Macaca fascicularis: one gene and its partner. The protein of the gene in region 1 purifies or fractionates together with the protein of each later gene. This does not show direct contact. Links are inferred from orthologs where the notes say so. Each region holds a gene or a part of one and is shown on either strand. Other genes may lie near its edges.

Region 1 (4,210 bases):
AACTATACAGCATGTTATTTTCTGTATCTTTCCCTCCAAGTAGGCTAACTTGAAGTACATATTTATTTTTAATCAGGGTACCCTTAGTTATTTAGTTCACATTGAACCTTGAAAAGGTAATTCTTAATTTTATTATTTGAATGTGTAGTTCGGAAACTTAAGGGACAAGGGTAGGTGTTTGATTCTTATATTGTTAATTTTATCTTTCCGATCATGATTCCTACTCTCTTTTTGCCTGCTAGGTACATATCGGTTGCTAATTGTGTTTTTGCTGTGGTGAAGTATTTGAAATGTTTACATATTATTTGTTGATTCTAAATAATTTAACACGTTTTTAATATATTTGGTTTTTTTTTCCCTCTCTACCAGATCAAACTTGGACATAGATCAGAAGCTAAAGATGGTAAGTATTTCATGTAATCTGACAGATAGGAAAAGTTTTATCCTTTTTTTTAAAAAAGGACAGGGTCTTGCTCTGTCACCCAGGCTGGAGTATAGAGACACAATCATAGCTCACTGCAGCCTCAAGCTTCTGTACTCAAGCAATTCTACCACCTCAGCCTCCTGAGTAGCTAGGGCTATAAACATATGCCACCACTTGTGGTTAATGTTTTATTTTTTGTAGAGATGGGGTTTGGCTGTGTTACTCAGGCTTCTCTCAAACTCCTGGCCTCAAGCTATCCTCCCACCTCGGCCTCCCAAAGTGCTGGAATTACAGGCTTGAGCCACCATGCCCAGCATAAAGTTTTCATTCTCACTGAAGAAACTAGCAAAGTATTAATTAATAAGAGTTAGCAGTGGTTCTGGATAGAGTTACTGCAGTGTCCCCGAAGAGTAAAGATAGACTCAGGATAGAGGAGTAGTATTTGGTGATTTTTACCAATTGGATGTTCAGAAAAACATTCTAAATCACCCACATAAATGGAAGGCAGCAAGCTTAATTAGTTTGTCTTTCTGTCTTCATTACGGTTTTACGTGTTACAAGCCATTGTTTTTTCTGTTTCTGAGTTTCTAATTTGAAAATTCAGGATACATTTTCATGAAAGTACATAAAGCTAACTATGGAATAGATATATGGGGAAAGGATTTCATTAAACTTTCTTCCAAAGTCTTATTTATTAGGAGTCATCATAAAATAGCTCTTATAAAAGAGACCCATTGTCTGTGTAAGTGCCAATACTATATCTTATTTTTATTTTATTTATTTATTTTTGAGACAGTGCCATGCTCTGTTGCCCAGGCTGGAGTGCAGTGGTGCGATCTCAGCTCACTGCAACCTCTGCCTCCCGGGTTCAAGCCATTTTCCTGCCTCAGCTTCCTGAGTAGCTAGGATTACAGGTGCGTGCCACCACGCCCAGCCAATTTTTTGTATTTTTAGTAGAGATGGGGTTTCACCACGTTGGCCAGGCTGGTCTCGATCTACTGGCCTCAAGTGATCTGCCCACCTAGGCCTCCCAAAGTGCTGGAATTATGAGCCACCGCACCTGGCCTATATCTTATTTTTAATTTTGAAATCTGTCATTTGTATTGGAATATATACTGTCTTATTACTAGTTTGCTTTTAGCACAAACAATATGCCACTAACATTTGTAGGGCAAGAGTAGGGAAGCTTATCATCTATATGCTGCACACTTATATATGTTCTTAGTCTGATGGTCTTCAGATCCTGATATCCTATAGATAAAGTGAAATTTTTTTCACCATTTGTCATAGTCTTTGTTAAGCTATTTTTTAAAAAAAGCAATATAGGCCTGGTACGGTGGCTCACGCCTATAATCCCAGCACTTTGGGAGGGTGAGGCGGGTAGATCGCCTGAGCTCAGGAGTTCGAGACCAGACTGGCCAACATAGCAAAACCCTGTCTCTAACAAAAGTACAAAAAATTAGCCAGGCGTGGAGGCACGCACCTGTGGTCCCAGCTACTCGGGAGGCTGAGGTGGGAGAATCACTTGAATCTGGGAGGTGGAGGCTGCAGTGAGCTGAGATCATGCCACTGCACTGCAACCTGGCTGACAGAGTGAAACCCCATCTCAAAAAAAATTAATAATAAAAATAAAGCAATGTAAAAGAACAACAGATTTCACATAAAAATTGTCAAAGTAGCCCTTATTTTTGTGTGGAATGTTCACTATTTTCTGAGGTGACTAACCTTTCTTTAAAAATATATGTTTGTGGCTGGGCGCGGTGGCTCACACCTGTAATCCCAGCACTTTGGGAGGCCGAGGCAGGTGGATCACGAGGTCGGGAGTTCGAGACCAGCCTGACTAACATGGTGAAACCCTGTCTCTACTAAAAATACAAAAATTAGCTGGGCGTGGTGGCGCATGCCTGTAATCCCAGCTACTCAGGAGGCTGAGGCAGGAGAATTGCTTGAACTCGGGAAGTGGAGGTTGCAGTAAGCTGAGATCACGTCACTGCCCTCCAGCCTGGACAACAGAGTGAGACTCCATCTCAAAAAAAAAAAAAAAAATGTGTTTTTAAGGTTTGAGATTTCAGAATTACTCACATTTTGCTTTGCCTTTTTATATAGGTATAAATAGAACAGCCTTAAGAGAGATAAAATTATTACAGGAGCTAAGTCATCCAAATATAATTGGTGTGAGTATGATCAAAACTGTTACTGGGATTTGGGACTCTGCCTTTTCTTAATATAATGGATGTTGATTAAAGGCTCAGCAAGATGACTTGTTCTAGATGAGCCTTACAGAAGCTTAAAGGAAATACATTTCCTATCCCAGTTGTTTTGGTAGACGTTGTCTTTAAAACTATACCACTGATTAAATAAATGAAATATTGACATGTAGGCTAATTTTGTCAGAAATAATTTTGAAGTCTAGGGAGCTCTAGCATATAGTGGCTGAGAGTGTGAACCTGAATTCAAAACCTTTCTTTCTGCCTGTGTGAGACCTTGAGTGTGTTTACTCACAACTCCCCGGAGTCCCTGCCCCATAGGGTAGTTGTGAGACTAGCCAATTGAACAGATGTATCTGGAATAGTGCCTGCCATGGAAAATGTATTCATTCATTCAATGATAGCCGCTGTTATTTAGAGGAGTTCTTAAGAATCACATTTGGGACTTTTCTTTTAAATTGGAGACTGGAATGAGGTTTTCACTGGTTAATTTCTTAATTATAACTCCAAATATTTGGGGAAAGAGGTTGGGTATTTTTTTTAAGTAAAATTTAATATTTTTGTGCTTCAAAATACTAATTCCTTTAGTACTGTCCAAAAAAGGAAAATGTCAAATTAATCAAATGATTTAAGCTTTATAGGGAATTACCAACAGTTTAAATGCTTTTTAAATTTTAAAAAATTGCCTCAGTTGCTATCATACTGTCAGGTATTAAATAGTGAATCACATTTTAATTTTTTTACTTTGCAGCTCCTTGATGCTTTTGGACATAAATCTAATATTAGCCTTGTCTTTGATTTTATGGAAACTGATCTAGAGGTAAGATTAAGATTCCTGGAGAAATTCCTTTGTCCCAGTTTATCAAACAAGAACCTAAATACTTGTTTTCTACCTAAGAAGATACTGCTAGTAAAAGGAAAAAAAAAGCTTAATTTTGTTGAAATTTGGATATACTCTAAGTCAAAAGGATCTCTTGAGTTATTTTCTTCTAATCATTTAGTGATATTCCCAGTGTTACATACAAAGATTTGGATTTCATTGGCCTTTCTCCCTTCCAAGTTCCCATAGCTAGTTGACGTCATTTTTGGAGAAATGAGCATTAGACCTGTAAGTTTTTTTTTTTTTTTTGAGATGGAGTCTTACTCTATCCTGGAGTGTAATGGCATGATCTCAGCTCACTGCAGCCTTCACCTCCTGGGTTCAAGTGATTCTCTCACTTCAGCCTCCCAAGTAGCTGGGATTACAGGTGCCAGCATGCCTGGCTAATTTTTATATTTGAAGTAGAGACGGGGTTTCACCATGTTGGCCAGGCTGGTCTTGAACTCCTGACCTCAAGTGATCCACCCTCCTCAGCCTCCCAAAGTGCTAGGATTACAGGCATGAGTCACCATGCCCAGCCAACGTATAAGAATTTTATTTCCGGACAGGTGCAGTGACTCACGCCTGTACTCTGAGCACTTTGAGAGGCCAAGGCAAGAGGATTGCTTAAGCCCAGGAGTTCAAGACCAGCCTGGACCACATAGTGAGATCCTGTCTCTACTTTAAAAATTATATTAAAAAATAAAGAAGCTTATTTCC
Region 2 (4,210 bases), on another chromosome or scaffold:
AATCTCACCCGTCCTTGCCTGCCCTCTGCAGGCTTCACCATCATCATCGAGCCCTTTGACGACAGAACCCCAACCATTGCCAACCCCATCCTGCACTTCAGGTGGGACCCTGCCCGGTGGGGGTGTGACTGCACTGTGGGTCAGGGGCCCAGCCCCCCGGGCCCTCACCGCCCTCATCTCTCTCCAGCTGCATGGACGCCTCGCTGGCCATCAAACCTGTATTCGAGCGCTTCCAGTCTGTCATCATCACGTCTGGGGTGAGGGCCCTTCTCCTGTTCCTCCCAGTCCCTGGCCTCCTTCCATGGGCCTCCTGGTCCCTGCCCAGTCCTGCTGAGATCCCTCCCACTGTCCCCCCTACAGACACTGTCCCCGCTGGACATCTACCCCAAGATCCTGGACTTCCACCCCGTCACCATGGCAACCTTCACCATGACGCTGGCCAGGGTCTGCCTCTGCCCTATGGTGAGTGGGAGAGGCTAGGGCTGGGACTGGGAGGGGAGGTGGGAGCAAGGGGCTGCGTCCCTTCCTTGGCTTCCCCCACTGCTCAGGCAGGAGAGTTTTACAGTGAAGAGGCCGGGTTTGGGATTCAGACAGACTTAGGCTTGATTCTGCTTCTCCGGGGGTACAACTCTCAAACCTCAGTTTTCTTATCTGTGAAATGGGAATGTATCCTCCCTGATCTCCCAGGGCGGTTGAGAGGATTGAGAGAGAACTGGGGTAAAACACTTAGGTACCCCAGGGTCTGGCACAGGTAGGCGCTTACTCAGCATCTTGGTTAACGTGGCTTTGCCGGGTACATGGTCTGGCTGTGACCCAGGTAAGTGGGCCTTCCTGTCCATCTCCATCTCTGTAACATGTACATGTCAACATGGGCCCTCAGTCCCTTATCTGAAGTCCCGAGGCTGGTTTTTTGTTTTGAGATGGACTCTTGCTCTGTTGCCCAGGCTGGAGTGCAATGGCACGGATCTCAGCTCACTGCAACCTCTGCCTCCTGGATTCAAGTGATTCTCGTGCTTCAGCCTCCTGAGTAGCTGGGATTACAGGCGTGTGCCACAACGCCCGGCTAAATTTTGTACTTTTAGTAGAGACAGGGTTTCACCATGTTGGCCAGGCTGGTCTCAAGTGATCTGCCCACCTGGTCCTCCCAAAGTGCTGGGATTACAGGTGTGAGCCACTGCGCGCAGCCATTTGTTTTGGAATTCAGAATTTTCCAGCCTTTAGAGACAAGGCATATGCTGTGTAGTGTGTGACGCCCCCAGTGGGGTCTGGGTGGCTCCCCCGAGTCAAACTCCTATTTTGGCAGTAAAAGATTTGGAAGCATCACATTAAGGAGTAAGTCAGGCCTCTGCAGAGACTCAGGGCAGGGCAGGTTTTGCTACTTAATGAGTTTGTGCCAAACTGAAAAAGAAATGTGTTCAGAGCTTTTGGCTTTTGGAGTTGCCCTGTCAGAGGTTGTGGACCAGTGATGACCACCCACTGCATGGTGGTTGTGTGAGGTTGCCGGCTGGCGGGGATGCCCACCGGCATAGTGAGGGGTGTTCTTCGGGATCCGGCTGGCCTGGGGCCTGGGGCTGGCTAGAGTGTAGCTGCTGGTGGAGAGTGTGGACAGACTCGGGTCCAGTTCCATGTTTGCCACCTATTCACTGTGTGACCTTGGGCAGGCAACTCACCTTTTCTGAGGCCAGGGTAGCTGAGGGTTCATTCAGTGACACTGTGTTAATAAAAAGTTTAGAGCAGACTGGGTGTGGTGGCTCACTCCTATAATCCCAGCACTTTGGGAGGCCAAGGTGGGACAGTCGCTTGAGGCCAGATGTTCAAGACCAGACTGGGCAACATGGTGACGCCCTGTCTCTATTAAAAAAAAAAAAAAAAAAGCTTAGAACAGCACCAGCAGGTGGTCAGCACTCACACGCTGGAGCAGTTGCTGCTGCCTCGCTTATCATGATCTCTGTTGCTCTCTTCAGATCATCGGCCGTGGCAATGACCAGGTGGCCATCAGCTCCAAATTTGAGACCCGGGAGGATATTGGTATGCTGCCAGTGGGGCTGGTTTCTGTGGGTTCCAAGAGGGAGGTGTATCAGTCAGATGGGCTGAGTCACGCTGCTGTAACAAATGTCCCTGGCCTTAGTTGCTTAGCCCAGAGCTTCCTTCTTGCCCATGGGACACGTCCACTGCGAGCTGGTAGGGGGCCTGCCCTGTGTCTCCTCACCTGGGAACCTCCATCGCTGGGTGCGTCAGAGGCAGCGTGATATGACAGGTGGGATCACAGTGGTCACAGTGAATTGTGCACTGGTTCCTAAGGGTGCTCCCCTGGAAGTGACACATGGCCTTTTTTTGAGACAGAGTCTTGCTCTGTTACCTAGGCTGGAGTGCAGTGGCATGATCTCGGCTCACTGCAACCTTTGCCTTGCGGGTTCAAGCAGTTCTTGTGCCTCAGCCTCCCGAGCAGCTGGATTTATAGGCATCTGCCACCACGCCAGGCTAATTTTTGTATTTTTAGTACAGATGGGGTTTTGCCGTGTTGGCCAGGCTGGTCTCAAACTCCTGACCTCAGATGATCCACCCACCTCGACCTCCCAAAGTGCTGGGATTACAGGCGTGAGCCGCCGCGCCTGACCCCTTCTGCACTGATTTCATTGGCCATGGCAAATTACATAGCCAGGTGTGACTTCAGGAAGTGGCAAGGAGGGTCCTCAAACACGCCTGGGAGGAGGAGGAAGGGGATGTGTGTGAATAGCCTGACAGCCAGCCTCAGTGGGGTTTCCAGAAACTCTAGTTTGAAGACAGAGAAGGGAGGAGGATCTGAGACAGGAGAGGGCCTAACCTCTGACTCCTCGCAGCTGTGATCCGGAACTACGGGAACCTCCTGCTGGAGATGTCTGCTGTGGTCCCTGATGGCATCGTGGCCTTCTTCACCAGCTACCAGTACATGGAGAGCACCGTGGCCTCCTGGTATGAGCAGGTATGCCTGGCCACCCCCTCCCTGCACTTGCTCTCCTCAGCCCCTGGCACTGCAGGAGGGGAGTCACCTGTTCTCCTCAGCCCCTGGCACTACACTGCTATGTCAGCTTCATTCCTCTTACCCTCTGATGGTGACAGGTGTCCTGTGTGACAGGAGAGTGCATGCAGCATGTAGGAATGGGGTGTAAGCAGCACATACCCTATGCCCCGCCCCCAGTACATCAGGCTGAGAACGCAGACATAAGCCCCAATGTGGGCCCCTCCCTCAGAGGAGTACCCTGTGGCGGAGTCACCCCCACCTTCTAGGTTCCTTGCTCCCCTGCTGCTCTTTGGGGCTACCCCATCCCTGTGATCCTCCAGCACAGATGGCCTGGTGGGGAGGCCCAGGTAGCAGGTGTGACTCTATCTAGGTTAGAGGAAGGTTCTAGAGAATCAAGGCTGGACTGAGACTCAGGGCAAAGCCTCTCAAGGGTCTGCAGGAGCCCTTTCAGGGAAGCAGGCAGAGGAAGTCATGGGGCATTCTGGAAACAGGGCTCACCACAGCCAGTCCCTGGGTGGGAGGGGAGGCCACTCTGCACTTTGTGCCTCTGAGCACACCATGGCCAGGCTCTCAGGAGTGGGTGAAAGCACATTGGGGCGAGGTGAGTGAACCTGGCTAATCCAAGTATTGGAATGGCACTCATGGGAGGCAGGAACCTCATCCTCACAGCCGGGACCTTGGCCTTGTGCTTCAATAGGTGGCTTCCACACGGCGGAAAGGTGATCCAGTCCCCACAGCCCAGGTGCCTTTTGTGTCCTATTTAAGACAACTTTGTCTTAAATACCCCAAGGTCATGAAGAGAGGCTGCTGTGTTTCCTTCTAGGAGCTTGTGGTTTTAGCTTTCACATCTAGGTCTATGAGGTACCTCAAATTCATCTTTCTATATGGTGTAAGGTAGGGGGTCAAGGTTCATTTTTTGGTTCCATTTGGAAATCCACTTGCTCCAGTAAAAGCTTTCCCCACTGAACTGCACAGGTGGCTGTGTGTTTCTGGACTCTCCATTTTGTCCCACTGGTCTGTGTCCTTGCACTGGCTCCACAGTCTGTATTGTAGTGTCATATGGGAAATCTCAGGGCAGCCTCTGATTGACTCTGCTTGCCTCACAGTCAGCCCCTCCACCAGTCGCTGGCAGGGGATGGGGTGCCCTGATTGGCCACCCCCTTGAGCCACATGCCTGCCCCACTTATCCAGCAGTGATTGGTTCCCCAC

The links. Proteins that work in one complex are often made in the same cells at the same time.
Region 2: the proteins of CDK7 (region 1) and ERCC2 purify together in Homo sapiens (affinity purification with mass spectrometry; 10 studies listed by BioGRID and IntAct, counting the BioPlex papers as one, with this or other methods). This does not show direct contact. The link is inferred for Macaca fascicularis from reciprocal best matches to the Homo sapiens genes CDK7 and ERCC2.

What each region holds. Positions count from the first base shown.
Region 1 is NC_088380.1:74,914,286-74,918,495, forward strand, and holds part of CDK7 (cyclin-dependent kinase 7), read left to right. Parts: intron 1-369; coding exon 370-403; intron 404-2,530; coding exon 2,531-2,598; intron 2,599-3,382; coding exon 3,383-3,451; intron 3,452-4,210. UniProt on the Homo sapiens protein: Serine/threonine kinase involved in cell cycle control and in RNA polymerase II-mediated RNA transcription. Cyclin-dependent kinases (CDKs) are activated by the binding to a cyclin and mediate the progression through the cell cycle.
Region 2 is NC_088393.1:53,405,968-53,410,177, reverse strand, and holds part of ERCC2 (general transcription and DNA repair factor IIH helicase subunit XPD), read left to right. Parts: intron 1-31; coding exon 32-101; intron 102-187; coding exon 188-257; intron 258-360; coding exon 361-462; intron 463-1,964; coding exon 1,965-2,028; intron 2,029-2,840; coding exon 2,841-2,962; intron 2,963-4,210. UniProt on the Homo sapiens protein: ATP-dependent 5'-3' DNA helicase. Component of the general transcription and DNA repair factor IIH (TFIIH) core complex, not absolutely essential for minimal transcription in vitro.